2 linked regions of the Lytechinus pictus genome follow. The protein of the gene in region 2 purifies or fractionates together with the protein of the main gene of each other region. This does not show direct contact. Links are inferred from orthologs where the notes say so. Each region holds a gene or a part of one and is shown on either strand. Other genes may lie near its edges.

Region 1 (7,086 bases), about 19 Mb from region 2:
TAACTTTGAAAGTTTATGGATAGAGTGAATGAAATGTGGACATGGGTGTAGTTGACAGTCTTAAGTCTCCGTTCAAATGTCATTTATGGTCAATGAACGTGGCATTATGTCATTATATGAATGATGTTTTTGTGAATGATTATTTTATAGTAGTTTTCAAAGTTAGCACTGCTGCTATATTAAATTGCGTAATGCAGGCGAGACTGCCAGAGGCGTTCCACTTGTTTAGTTTCCAGGGGTCTTTTGACCATTTCAAGAGCTATATCACCTAAAGGCCCCATGTATTTTTCCATTTGTATCTGCTATCATAATTTTGATATTATGAGAGAAAGTTAGGTATACTAATACAGTGCTTAAAGGTCAAGTCCACCCCAGGAAATGTTGATTTGAATAAATAGAGAAAAATCAAACTAGCAAAACGCTGAAAGTTTCATCAAAATCGGATGTAAAATAAGAAGGTTATGACATTTTGAAGTTGCTTATTTTTTTCACTTAACAGTGATATGTACAACTCATATGAGACAATCGATGATGTCCCTCACTATTTTTTTTATTTTTTATTGTTTGAATAATACAATATTTCATTTTTTATAGATTTGACAATAAGGACCAACTTGACTGAATCATATAGTATTAATCAATGCTCATTCCACATGTTCAGGGAGGAATTAATCGCTGTTTCACTCGACAATGAGGAGAAAAATAGAATATTCCCTATTTCATATAATAAAATACAAAAGAAAAAGTGAGTGGATGACGTCATCAGTCTCCTCATTTGCATACCCACCAGGATGTGCATATTACTGTCTTGTGAAATTAAGCAAAACTTTAAAATGTCATAACTTTCTTTTACATCTGATTTTGATGACATTTTCAGTGTTATGCTTGTTGGATTTTTCTTTTTTTTATTCAAATCAACATTTTGTTGAGGTGGACTTGTCCTTGTAATATGTCATTCTTTTGATCCCTTTGTGAGTCTTTAGAATCTCTTCAGTTTACTTGACATTGATATTAGTCTTTCTCTTCTCTACAATTATTATTCAAATAGAGTTAATCGAAATTGCTGTTTCTTTCTTATTATCATTCTATAAAGTAAATAATTCATGTTAGAATGTCAAAGATTTGTTTATGCTTTGAATTTTCGTATTTACCTGTAATCATCCATAGACACATGATTATATATATCCCATTTTAATACCACTACTTTAGTTTTATGGCTTTCAATGACTTTATACTGCCTAATTGTTCATAGTCATGTCATCAATGAATGAAAATACATGTACTCAATTAAAGTGTAGTCAATTGAATTTGTATTCCCTTGTATTGCGTTGTATTTTATTGCTATATATTAAAGGAGATTAAACCCTTGAAATAAGTTAGTTTGTGTGAAAGCAATGACAAAGAAGATAAATGAAAAAGTTTTAATTAGAAAGAGCATTTGAATGTTAATGTCACTAATGCAATGGAAATCCATTGGCAATGCAAACAAGATGTTTGATGTCACACATGAAAAACTTTCCCATTTGTGCACTAAAAATATATTGTCCATTCTAATAAGGAAGAACAATTTTATTAATGTTGTAAAAGCTTAGCTGTTCTACATGTCCTCTCATTAGAACTTACATATTTCTAGTGATTTCAATATTCAAATGCTCGTAACTTTATTTTTATTCATTTATTTTTTCAAACTTTCATTGGTCTATTTTTTTATTTTTCTCTTTTAAAAATAATTCAACTGGTTTCAAGAGTTACATTCTTCTTTAATTGCAATGAAGCATGTGAGGAACTTTAAATGTCTTTCCATTATTACACAAATGCCTTGTATAATCAATTTGCGATTGCATTGTTGGTCCTGCAATATTAAAAGGCAATAGTACCCAACATTCCAACATTATGTCCGCTTTCTTCTTGAGGTATATAAAATTGCTTGTAGCTTCTTCTTGTCTCTTCATTTTGCTTAACATATCTATGTATATAAGCATACATAACGGTAGAAACGTTTGTATGCGAGAGTGTTTGTGAGTGTCTGTATGTGTGTCAGGAGTAGGTGTGTGTGTTCATAGTTACTTGCAATAGTTTAATAATTATCCTAAAGCATGCATGCTGGAAAATAGGCCTGTATACAACATAAGAATTACCAGAGTCTGGCTGCCCTGAAAATAGTAGGTCTACATTCTCACTTGTTTTTTTTTTCAGGAAATAATCTAGCACGAACTAATATTTCAGTCCAGGGGAGTGTTTCACAAAGATTGAAGAATGACTAAGAGTTGCACTTAAATTCCGACACATACATGATATGCAAGCGCAATCTTATTGATCAATACGCAGTCCTGCGCGTCCTCTTGGCATGATCTGACCATTGCGGTCATGCCTTTAATACTGCACGCAACTAGCAGAGGCGTCGATCCTGGGGGGGGGGCAGGGGGGCGATCGCCCCACCAATGAAAATATCGGGGGGGGGGGGGCAAACATCGTTTTGCCCCCCCCCCACAATAATTCCGCATGTACAAAAATAAAATAAGATTGTAATGTTACACATAAATTAGCAAGCGAGATCGAGATACACAAGTCGTTCTTTATTTAAAATCGTGCTCAAAATGTCCGCTTTTCAGATTGGAATATACACATTTTCAGCTCGCGCTCGCATCATTTCTGTAGTAAAAACCCATACTTTTCAGGATTAAATAGGTGAATAGAATGTCCCGTTTTCAGTTCTAAACCTAAAAAAAAAACTCGCGCTTCAATTTGCAATAATCTTTTGTTGGATATATATCTTGTTCTTCATTAAAAAGTCATTTTTTCAGATTGAAATATCAAAATCTTCAGCTCGCGCTTCGCGCTCACATCTATTGCTCTTTTAGATACGTCCCATCCCGGGGGGGGGGGGGGGGGGCACTCGACCAAAAAAGTGGTAGGGGTGTGCCGCGGGCGAGACAAAAAACGGGGGCCTTGGAGCGGGCTTATTGTAAAAAGGAGGGTCCTCGGAACGGGCTTTGGAACAACAAATATTTGTGAAAACGGGGGTCCTTGGAACGGATCGCCAGCGTGTGAGTGCGTATGCATCCCTATATGGAACGGGCATGCGTGCATGATGCAGCTAGCCCGGGTGCGCTCGCGCAGAGGCGATGGTCGGACAGCGCTCTGCGGCCACTTTTCACCAAAATTGCAGCTCATTGTAGCAGATCAATGCGACCGGAACGGCATAACGAAAAATATGCGAAGCTTTGGAGCGGATTTCTTCTTTTTCCTCGATAAGAAAAAAATGCTATGCTTTGGAGCGGCTTTCTTTGTTCTTTTTCTCAATGAGACCTCAATGAGACAAAAATGCTATGCCTTGGAACGGAAATTTGAGTGTAAAAATGGGGGTCCCCTCCGCGGCACATACCCACTATGCATTATAAACTGAGTGCCCCCCCCCCCCTCCCCCCCGTCCATCTTAGTCATTGGTACCAAAAATCCTTAGAGTATCATGCTTTCGGGTCAGAATTTAAAGAAATTTCAGCTCGCTCTCAGCACTCGCATTATCTGTGTAGTGATATATGTATCCTCCTCATGAGTTACTACAAACAGTCCTAAACAGGTACCTTTTTCCTATTTTCAGATCATTGTAAATATAAATTTCAGCTCGCACTCGCATTAATTTGTTGGTGAGATATGTGTCTCTTTCTCATGAGTCACATATATTTATAGAGAGAGAGGCCTATGTGTGTGGGGGGGGGGTGTGTGAGTTAGTTTGTTTTGTGTGATCGAGCGCCTATTTGGAACGTTGATTCATGATTTTGCCCCCCCCCCCCCCCCCCCATCTGAAAAATGGATCGACGCCCCTGGCAGCTAGGCATTTAAGAGCGAATCTTTGTGAAACACCCCCAGGTGGGTGTTTCATAAAGTTGTTCGTAAGTTAAGAGCTACCGGTGAACCTTAAATAAATAATCACCAACGAACATTTAAATGGTCCATATATGTCATTTACCGAAAGAAAGGATCACCAGTCGTTCTTAAAGTCGCCTTATCAGCTGATGAAACGGCTCCTGGATGGACCATATACTAGTATCGTGTTGCGTTGACGCCCTCTAGTGTTAATTGATGAAGACAAACTGTGAAATCTGAAGCGGACGACGACGCGTCGTCTCCGGAATCTTGATAGTAAGTTTAACGATCCTACTGGTTTTAACCCAAAATATTTGCATGTACATTGCCGTTTATCAGTTTTACTTCAAAATACAAAGTAGGCAATGAAAATCCTAGGAGTAAGCACTGTGCTACTCTTAGTCTTACTTTTCTTTACTAGAGTCAGACTCAGAGGTCACTCGATCTCCTTGCACGTGCATGACATGCCCTTTTCTGCTGCTCCGCCGCCTCGCCCGGGCCCTTGGCCTCGCTTCGGCAGCGGAGTCCCGGGAGCGGAGCGTATCGTGCACTCGGTAATGTAAAGCCTGGCCTGGCCCTGGGCCCCTGGGGTGGTATTTCGCTAGAAAAGTTACGTGTTTAGGGTCAAATTTGCGGGGATGATTAAACAAAATTAAAATATTTTATAAAGGATATCCTTTTGCCACAACACTTCGTGTTTAGAGTCCGATTTGCGCGACGTGCGGAAGGTGGGTTCGTACTAAACCAAATGATGTGTATTAAAAGGTAAAACCAACGACCGAAGGACCAGTGACAAACTATTCCTGTACTTGTTTAGGGGTATATTTCAGGGAATACTTGCCAAGAGTATCGTTTTGTTTCCAATACTTGTTAAGGGTAGGGTTTCACATGCCAATACGTGTTATTTTCTGTTAAGGGGTGCATTTTCAATATGGAAAATACGTGTTTAGGGTGCTTTTCGAGACCCCATGGTTGCGCATGGTATCCACTTGTCAATGGAAGTGGCCCCCCCGGGGCTACACCGGGACAGTGAACTAGATCGGATATTCCGAGTCATAAACGGTGGGATGGCAATCATGGTTATCGTAAAAATTAAAGAAAAAAAATACAACGAGGGATATGAATGACTTAATATCTTACTCTACACCCGTATTTCACTCCGTGTCCATCCTCTGGTTATCCTCAAAATTGGTGATTTTGGGCCAGTATCTTTTTCCTCACGTATTATTCACGGCCGATTTCAAAACATCGCATGCGATCGCGATTGGTTTGACCTGCGACCGATCGCAATCGCATGCGATGTTTTGAAATCGGCCGTGAATAATACGTGTAGGGTGTCTGGAGAAAAAAATTATTTTTCTTATTTCAAGAAAATATCACATTTTCTTTGTGAATTTGAAGAGAAATTACCTTCAGACTGACAGAAATGTAAAAATTTCGAAAAAAATCCAATTATTGGCTGCAAAAAAGAAGAATGAAATTAGGTAAATTTTCAGCATTTCTCTGCCATAGACTGTGTAGTTAAGAAATGGACACACACAAATCCAAATTTTTAGCTTCCGAGAGCTGTTATATATTTATTATTAATGCCAAAAACTTGTCCATAAAGAGTCCAATAGGATTTTTTATGCTCTATCTGATGGTATGATTTTCATAAAGATTTGGAAACCAGATCACAATGAAAAATTGCGACAAAGTTAAAAAAATTGTGCAAAACAGAAATTTCATTTTCCCATAGAAAACGCATGGAGAAATGGCAATCTCAACACACACAAAAATAAGGGTTTGCAATTTATCTCTAAATCCTTATTTAAAATGATCATATAAACTTGTCCTTACTGTCAACAGATGCCCCTGAATTTTCTCTTTCCATACATGCCAAACACAAGTTAATAATCAATTCAGATCACATTTTTCTAGTAGCCTGAACTTCCCTGAAAAAATGTGCCATATTTTCCCCTAAATTAGCCTGTTTTATGCTGACACTTTTCAGTGTGGCTTCAGACACCCTAATACGTGTGAGGAAATAGATACTGGCCCAAAATCACCAATTTTGAGGATAACCGGAGGATGGAAACGGAGTGAAATACGGGTGTAGAGTAAGATATTAAGTCAATCATCTTTTTCGTTACATATTTTTTGTTTAATTTTTAAGATTATCATGATTGCCATCCCACCTTTGTGACTCGGTATATCCGAAATGGTTCACGGTCCCGATGTTCGGGTAGGTGGTGCGGAGTGTAGCGGTAGTGAAGTGGAGTGGAGCCTGCACGAACATCGCCCGAGGTAGAAAGCTAGAGTCTAGACTTCCTTGTCTTGTTCGAACCTCTCGCTGCAGAACAAAGCATCTCCAGTCTGTCACCTTACTGAGCTAGCAGGAATAGTTGAAAGCCATGGGTTTCATAACGGTTATCAACCGATGTTACGACTAGTCAAGACAAGAGTATTGGGTAGTAGAGTCTATTGTTTTTCTGACTAAATAAACTGATGCCATGATTGGGAAGGTTTCAAGCTACACTGACTGCCTCCTTTAATCCTGAAAACTCTTGCAGTATTGTATTACCGGGGACCGGGAATTACACACACTCGAGATTTTGACAGAATAAAGCCATATTTTGGTATGTATCCATCTTTTCCATCCTAAATCTCTTGGATATATGTTTTAGATTATTCTCGATAAACCTCCATATTTTTTATTCAATTTTTAATAGTGGAGGGGATATACATTTATGGAAGTCTTGCCAATTGGCATTCTGGAAATTGTCTAAGTTATGACTTATCTCTGTAAGGATGTCACCTATTTTATCTCTGACACCATGGACACCACGCCCAATATTTCATTAACCAATCATTACTGCTTGTTATATGCTAGGTCAACCAATAGAAGCGTCTCTTCTGAAAAAATAAAGCGCATTGCTGATATGAGGCGTAATTTCCTTGCGCCCCCGACGCTTCTGCTTGTGCGCTTCTGTGCTGAAAATACATGTGACTCTTTTCAAAGACATATTTTCTCTGAAAGATTATCGTCTCAAACTCCAATTTTTAATTGCTGAAAAGTCTACCAATCTGTCGTTATAATGTCTTTGGAATGTCTCCTTTTGTAAAACATGATGTTCTTGCAGGATGCAGCAAGAAATAATTATTGCAGCATACAGACAGACAAATATCGCATGCAACAATAAGTTACAATAGCCCCCTACATGTACCTCTTGTAAATTT
Region 2 (7,801 bases):
TATAACAAGCCCTCTTTCTTGTTCTTATCACGCTTTGAGCTTCGCCCTATCAAATGCTCGGGGCACAATCATAATATATCCTGTTCATACAATGATATGACCGGGATTTTTTTTGGCTCTTGCCCCCCCCCCCCCCTATCCACCGACCCCTATTACGCCCCTGGGGGGGGGGATGGGGATGAACCATTGTTTCTCTCCCCACTTGAATATTTTTTTTTTTCTCTTTAAACCTCTTTCGAGGGACTTTATTTACATCTCTATAATACAGTTTACAAATCACAAAGTATATACAGTAATCAAATTAATCAATCAATAAATGAGTTCCAGCAATTTGTCAATTTCTTTTGTATTCTTATTTTTGGTAACATATTTTGAACTTAAATACCATCTCAGTTTCATTTTCAAATTCATCCATAATCTATTTACATTAACAAAGTAATAACCTTTTTTCATACTCGTTTCAATATAATTTCTGTAAATGGTGTATTGAGTAAAATTCAAAATGATATTAATTAACCAGTATTTCGGTTCTTGTATATTCCAACCTAAAATTACTATATTTTCATTAACATAGACCCCACTTGAATATAGTATCCCATGATTTAGCCTATGCAGAGAGAATGTATAGAGACGGAGCAAATTTTCTTAACAAAGGATATATATCCTATTCCTAGATAATGACACAATTTCAGCACTTTTGACAAATTTAAGACCTTAAGTTTACAGCATAAGTATTGGTATATTCGTCGGTAGTTGGAGTAGTAGTTATGGCGCAGTCACATTTGCCATACGGCGGCCGTATGGCGAGTCGAAAACAGCCGTTTCAACATAATTATTATACCAGCTAAATAGGTGTTTGAATAAAAATGAATAAATGGCAGTTTTCGACTCGCCGTACGCTGCCGTAGGGGAAATGTGACTGCATTGAGATATACTGTTGTGCGAGGGACCCAGTGTTGCGACCGAGCAAGAAAATAAAAGCTTTAAAACACTTGACGACATGAATGGAGTAGGGCATAAGCGGCGGAAGTGGAAGGGGGGGGGGGACGCGTCCCCCCTAAATTTAAGTTGGGGGACAGTCCCCCCTAAAAAAGAGAGGAAGAAAAAAAGAAAGGAAGGAAGGAAAGAAGAAAGAAAGAAAATAGGAAAGGAAAGGAAAAGGATAAACGATAACAAGTGTAGGCCTACTGAACAGCTGAAACATTATAAGAATTTAAACCTATATAAAATAGCGAAAAATTAAAGTTTTACTATATGGAAAATAGTACACAAAGTTTAAACTCGTTTCTTATAGGACTTTGTTCAGAAAAAAATTGACAAGCAATTTTTTTTTCGCACCAAAATGAAGGATGTTTAGATCAATTCTATTTATTTATTACCCTTGATATGATAATGCGATGCTATAAGAAAAAAAATATAACGAATAGTAGTGAAAAGACTGGAAACACAAAAAATATTGAAAGAAATAGATTTGTATCTGAAAATGCGCGCAACTATCCAAGCTCACTCTCTGCGCTAGGCTAAGATCGCATTTCCTCAAAAAAACATGTATCAGCACAATGGCTGTTTTACATCATGGTCCTGAAGGACAAAATATAATCAGTGAAATAAATTAAATATTCATAGGATTAATATATTAGCAACAAAGCGAATATAATATACAAACAAACAATATAGCAAAACTTAAGAGTACGACAAAAAGAAGGTTTAAATCAAGAGAAATGTGACAAGTCGAGTTTGGAAGTACAAACAATAATTGTTTGAATGTCTGAGAAATAGAAACATAAGATGAGAAATAGAAACGACGGAGGATTGAGTAATAGTCGACTCCAGGGATGGAGCGAAAATAAAGGGGATTGGGAGTCAGAGAGAAATGAAACAATTAAGAAATGCAAGAGTAATGAGAAGAGGAATATTAAGAAGGAGAACATTGAAACAAACTCAAAACATTTTAGAATGTAACTAACATATCAAATATGATAAAAAAGTAAACATAATTATTCTAGTCATTGTAAAAAAAAACATGTGATTGAAGAGTAATATAAATCTTATTTAAAAATATTTATGTTTATAATTTCTCTTGAACGAGTTGAGGGTTTGTTGATTTTGTAATTCATTTGGGAGAGAATTCCACGATTTTGCACCAGAGTATTTAAAGGACTGTTTGAAAAGTTCGGTATTTGGTTTGGATAATTGAATAAGAACTATCAAAATCAGAGCACGATTAATTATTGTACTTTAGGTTTATATATCATCAGTGATTTTTTTTTCCAATTTTTATATATATCTAAAAGAAAAAAAAAAAAAAAAAAACATGGTTATTGGTTGTTGCCTAGTCTTATATCTTTAAATAAAAAAAATTAATGAGATTAACTTGACAATTTTACTGGATCCCACCCGACGCGGGCTTCCCGCTACGCGAAGAATTAAAAAAAATGGAAAAGAGGAAGAAGAGAAAAATTAGAGGAAGATTGAAAACAAAAGAGAAATGTGAATGAAATAAGGGGAGGGGAATACTTAGAAAATAAAAATGAAAATTTTGATCGCGCTTCGCGCTCGCATTCCCTGTACAAGAAGATAATCTGCTCACGGGGATAACATGGAGCTTTGAATATCCCATTTTAAAGTCAATATGCACAAATTATTTTGCTCGCGAATCGAGTTTTCATTGCATTCTGTTCTTGCTTTAAAAAAATACGTATTCTCTTCACGAATTACAGCAAAAAAATGCATTAAGTGTTCCCTTTCCAATTCAGTATATCACTTATTTTCATCTCGCTTCTCACAATCGCATAAAATGTTTAGTTGGATATCCATCCTTTTCATGATTACCAAAAGTGCTTAGAATGCCTAAATTTTAGGTCAGAATATAAAAAAAATTTAGCTCACGCGTCGCGCTCGCATAAAATGTTTAGTTAGATAACTATTCTTATTCATGATTACCAAAACTAAAGTGCTTAGAATGTCCAAGTTTTAGGTCATGATATCAAAGTTTTTCAGCTCGCGCTTCGCGCTCGCATGATTTTTTTTTAATAGATAGATACCCATCCTAGCTGTTCAGGGTCACAAAGAATGTTTAAAATCAAAATTTTAAGTCAAAATATCAACATTTTTCAGCTCGAGCCTCGCGCTCGCATGAATCGTTTATATACATGTAGATACCCATCCTGTGCTTAGCCGAAATATCCAGTTTTGGGTTTGGAATATCAATAATGTTTAGCTCTCTCTACGTGCTCGCATAAAATGTTTAGTTAGATACCCGTCTTGCTCATGATCACCAAAAGTGTTTTAGAAATGCCAAAATTTTAGATCAGAATATATATTTTTTTTCAGCTCGCGCGTCACGCGCGCAGCATCAATATTATTGTTTAGATACCGTAAGGGCACTAGTATTCAACCCGTTTGGAGAGTTTCCTCAAATATATAGAAATATATAATTTACCTGAATTTCAGACCCGTCTTACTTCCAAGAGCAAATTCTGGTTATTCTTTTTCCGTTATTTTTTTCTTCAACCCGTCGACTGTGTGCGCGGGCGATCGAATTATACGGTGATGGTTTTTGGCACTAGTATTCAATCTGTCGGCACTAGTATTCAACCTAGCGATGGAAGATGGCCCTGTCTTTAAATCTGCCCTTGTTCCATCCGACTATGGACTAGACCAATTGAGATGAGACTAAACAGGGAATTAATCAAAGCCAGAGACTTACATAAATCTAGATCTAATTTAGCAATCTAAACCATTTTGAAATTAGCCATCTATCATCACTATCATCCCAGCCATGGCGTAATTTCCTTCGGCAAGAAATTTATCCACATTGTGCTGCACTCAACCCAGGTGAGGTGAATGGGTACCTTGCAGGAATTTATTCCTTGAAATGCGTGTGCGCTGTAATCTTAGTAATTACGGCTGTCAAGCTACAGCTCGGGTAATAATATCCAAGTCCTTTGGAAGCGCATAGAGACATTATTCATAATTGTGATATGCGCTATACAAGAACTGTTTATTATTATTATTATTATTAGGTTGAATACTAGTGCATTTCAGTGCAAAAGGTCATCGCCGCATTATTCGATCCTCCGCGCATACAGTCGATAGATTGATAAAGAAAATACCGACAACAGATTACACTGGAAATAACAAAGGTATGAAATTAAGATAAATTCCCTATTTCTAAATATTTGGGGGAATTTGTCCAAATCTTTGAATTATGCCAGGTTGAATACTAGTGCCCATATGGTACCCAACCTATTCATGGTTTTAAAAAGATAGCTAGAATGTCCAGTTTCATGTCAAGTCGGAATATCAAAAATTTTCAGCTCGCGCTACGCGCTCACATAAAATATTTCTTTAGATACCCATCGTGTTCATGGAGGGGGGGGGGCGCCATTTTCCGAAAAGTACACAGGAGCACCAAAATCAGGTTGGGCCCCGGGTGCAGAATCATGGACGCCTACCTTATCAGATGTCTAATCTTGTTTTTTTTAAGAAAAAAACTAATATGTACTTAAGACTTCAGACTTCAGTGGGGGCTACCCCCTGAACAAAAAATTAAAAAGTCAGGTTTAACTTAGCAGTCGACTGGGGGAAAATGTGGGTGAAAATATTTTTTCCGTCCCCCCCCCCCAAATGTTGATGCCTCCGCCGCCAATGGAGTAGGGCCTATATTATACCAGTGTAATTTGTATTTGTTTTTATTTTTTCTTTGGGGTCGGATTTTTTAATTTTTTTAGGGGGGGGGGGGGTTGAGTCCCCAAAGCTCCCAACAACCACTCGTTTCAGTTCCTATTCTTTCGTTGTTTTTAATCGGCAGTCTGGTATGACAACGTACGTAACCGGCTGGCCGGAGGAAGCCCCGCCCCCACACAATTGGCGTTCCATAAATCAGTGGCGCGATCATCTTGTCATTCTTGCTTCTCCTGCCCGCTATTTACTTCTAAACGTAAGTTTATTGGCGGTTTTGATCGACTTAATTGTGCCGGTTTATTCACCAGTATGTCATCGGTAAAGTCAGTGAAGGTAAGTGTACATGAAATACCTCGACTTGTTCTTGGTTCTGATTAGACTTTGAAGACCGCCTGCGCGAGTTTTATAGCCGTAGCGTAGCCTAGGCGAGGCCTAGGGACGTCCGGACCCCTGCGGCTCCGGACTGTCCCGAGTCGGAGGACGGCACGTACGGTACAAACTGGTTATGCCAATGGTATCGTGCCGGAATGCGCGGTTCGCCGCGAGCCTTGAGGACTCCATGATATTTTTTAATATTTTGACATATACTTCTTTATCATGGAGCCTAAGTTGAACCGCCTGCCGTATAATAAGAGACACTTGTAGTTGTTGACATGTTGTAAACAAAGATGGATTTCCCTAGGAAATCCATCTTTTAAGATAAAAATCACGTAGGTCCTAGGCCTAAATGTTTTTGATTTTATTTATTTTTACACCTTCATTCATAGTACGCATAAATGCGTATGATTGAAGATTTCCAAAATTGGTTAATGAAAAGGCGAACTATTGAAGGTTTCTTACCTGACCGATCTCGTGTAGATCCCTCGATCCGTTTGTCAACAAAGCAAATACAATAGGTCTGACCCTTGAACCGCTTCGTTATGACGTACCTTCGGCTTTGATTAGCGATGTTACAAAATGCCGTTTTGAAGAACAATTTATAGATAAAAATTATTATTTAACAAATACTAAAATTAAGACGTGATTAGGAATAACAATTATTATTATAATAATTATTACTAATCACGTCTTAATGACTTTTTTCTCAACTTGGTCATCATGTAGGCCTATGTGGAAACTTGCAAACTATCTCATATTATTTTATTTGAAGTAGAAAATTAACAACCTTAATGCACTTACCAGATAAAAATATTTTACAGAAGTAAAGTGGGCATGGCAACAATTAAAAATCTCAAATTGCCCAAAATTACTTATGGCGCACTTTGGTTATGCCCTGGCCCACTGTGCCTCGATTCACTATCTGTAGGCCTACATTTTTGTCATGAAAAATTGTAATTGATGCAAAAAGTAAATTTACCAGGAATACTTTGTACTCCAATGCAATGATCAGTAACTATTTCACTAATTTTTCATGCTTTTATCAGTTTGAAAATTGATGATTTGAAACCTGACTATTTCTTCACTCATAGATTCACTATCAATTAAAAAACATCACAATTGCAAGAAGGCCTGGCCAGCAGCCACGGCAATGCTTGCGAATGCAATGCTTTCAATTTGGTAGTGAATTTAAACTGTGACAAAAAAGGTACAGTTTTTTAATATGGTAATCGATTTCAAAACTGATAGAACATGGAGTATGACTTTGGACCAGTCATAGTTTTTGCACACTATTCTCATTGAACTGTGCAGAAACTGGTTGGAAGCCTTATCCTGCATTCAAATTAAAAAAATTGCCCATTGTTTCCACCCAAAATATGTATAAATACGAATTATATGATTTAGAATGTAAAGGAGTAAACAATCTTTCTATTTTTTGGGAAGGGTTTAGTTGGACTGGTTACAGGTGGTGCCTCTGGTCTTGGGAGGGCTACTGTGGAAAGATTCTTAAGAAATGGAGCCAGAGTAGTCATTGTAGATCTGCCAAACTCTCCCGGTGAAGAGCTAGCTAAAAGTTTGGGAGATGACTGCAAATTTTCTCCTGGTGATGTAAGTATAAAATTCTTTGGAGAATATCTTATATTTCCTGAGTATTTTACCTTAGTTACTTCATTATTTTTCTAATTATTCTCAATGAAGGTTGCTGTAGAAGAGACAATTGCTATAAAAGACAAGTATTCAACCTCTTTGTTCAATGATGGAAATGATTTTTACTGAATTGTATGAATACATTGAAATAATTTTATGAATGAGTCATTTATATTGTAGCAATGATTAATGCTTGAATTAAAGCTTAACTAGTTTAGTTCTGGATTTGAATTTGAATAATTGAGTGAACTGCCTCAAAATAATTGTGAAAGGGTGTGTGTAATACACCTGAAGAACTACCAAAAACGTTAGCGAATTGACTCAAACACTAGCTTCTAAAGATCAAATCAACTGCACACAGATGAGCATGTATCATGTATGGAACTACACCCGACTTTGGAAAAAGGTTCAAGCTGCTTTTTGTTTTATTTTGAAGAGCATCCTTTGCTATGAAGTGAACCATTTTTTAAAATTTTCCTAATCATTATCAAAAGATTTTTATAGATCCAATTCTTTCCATCCTTCCCACAACTTTTGTTTATCTTGAAGCTCGAACCTAATTTTTAGAATCAACATATTTTCCCTTGTAGTACTGTTCAATGTTGATTGCAATTGATGTTTAGAAGCAAACATAATTTGCTCTGAATACCAAATCTGTTTCCATAATTGAGTCATGGGCAAATTGTACATCAGAAATTAATCTTTATAAAAATTCCTGCTGCACATTTGCAGCAAAATAGTGTATATTCTGAAGTTTTGCATTATTTGAATTTCCATCAGGTCACTTCAACAGATGATGTAACGAAAGCCATAGATACTGCTAAGGAATCGTTTGGACGTCTAGATGTAGCTGTAAGCTGTGCAGGCATAGGTGTAGCGGCCAAGACCTACAACTTTAACAAAGACCGACCCCACCCACTAGAAGAATTCCAGAGGGTCCTGATGGTCAACACGGCGGGTACCTTCAATGTAGCAAGACTTGCTGCAGGAGCCATAGGTAAAAATGAGCCCAATGCTGATGGAGAAAGGGGGGTAATTATCAACACAGCCAGTGTAGCGGCCTATGATGGACAGATGGGTCAGGCAGCAT

Evidence for each region. Proteins that work in one complex are often made in the same cells at the same time.
Region 1: the proteins of 3-hydroxyacyl-CoA dehydrogenase type-2-like (region 2) and tRNA methyltransferase 10 homolog C-like purify together in Homo sapiens (co-immunoprecipitation; 3 studies listed by BioGRID and IntAct, counting the BioPlex papers as one, with this or other methods). This does not show direct contact. The link is inferred for Lytechinus pictus from reciprocal best matches to the Homo sapiens genes HSD17B10 and TRMT10C.

The regions. Positions count from the first base shown.
Region 1 is NC_087247.1:56,837,216-56,844,301, forward strand, and holds the start of tRNA methyltransferase 10 homolog C-like, read left to right. Parts: upstream 1-4,060; 5' UTR 4,061-4,143; intron 4,144-7,086. UniProt on the Homo sapiens protein: Mitochondrial tRNA N(1)-methyltransferase involved in mitochondrial tRNA maturation. Component of mitochondrial ribonuclease P, a complex composed of TRMT10C/MRPP1, HSD17B10/MRPP2 and PRORP/MRPP3, which cleaves tRNA molecules in their 5'-ends.
Region 2 is NC_087247.1:37,436,920-37,444,720, forward strand, and holds the start of 3-hydroxyacyl-CoA dehydrogenase type-2-like, read left to right. Parts: upstream 1-4,789; 5' UTR 4,790-4,995; coding exon 4,996-5,019; intron 5,020-6,507; coding exon 6,508-6,672; intron 6,673-7,491; coding exon 7,492-7,801. UniProt on the Homo sapiens protein: Mitochondrial dehydrogenase involved in pathways of fatty acid, branched-chain amino acid and steroid metabolism. Acts as (S)-3-hydroxyacyl-CoA dehydrogenase in mitochondrial fatty acid beta-oxidation, a major degradation pathway of fatty acids.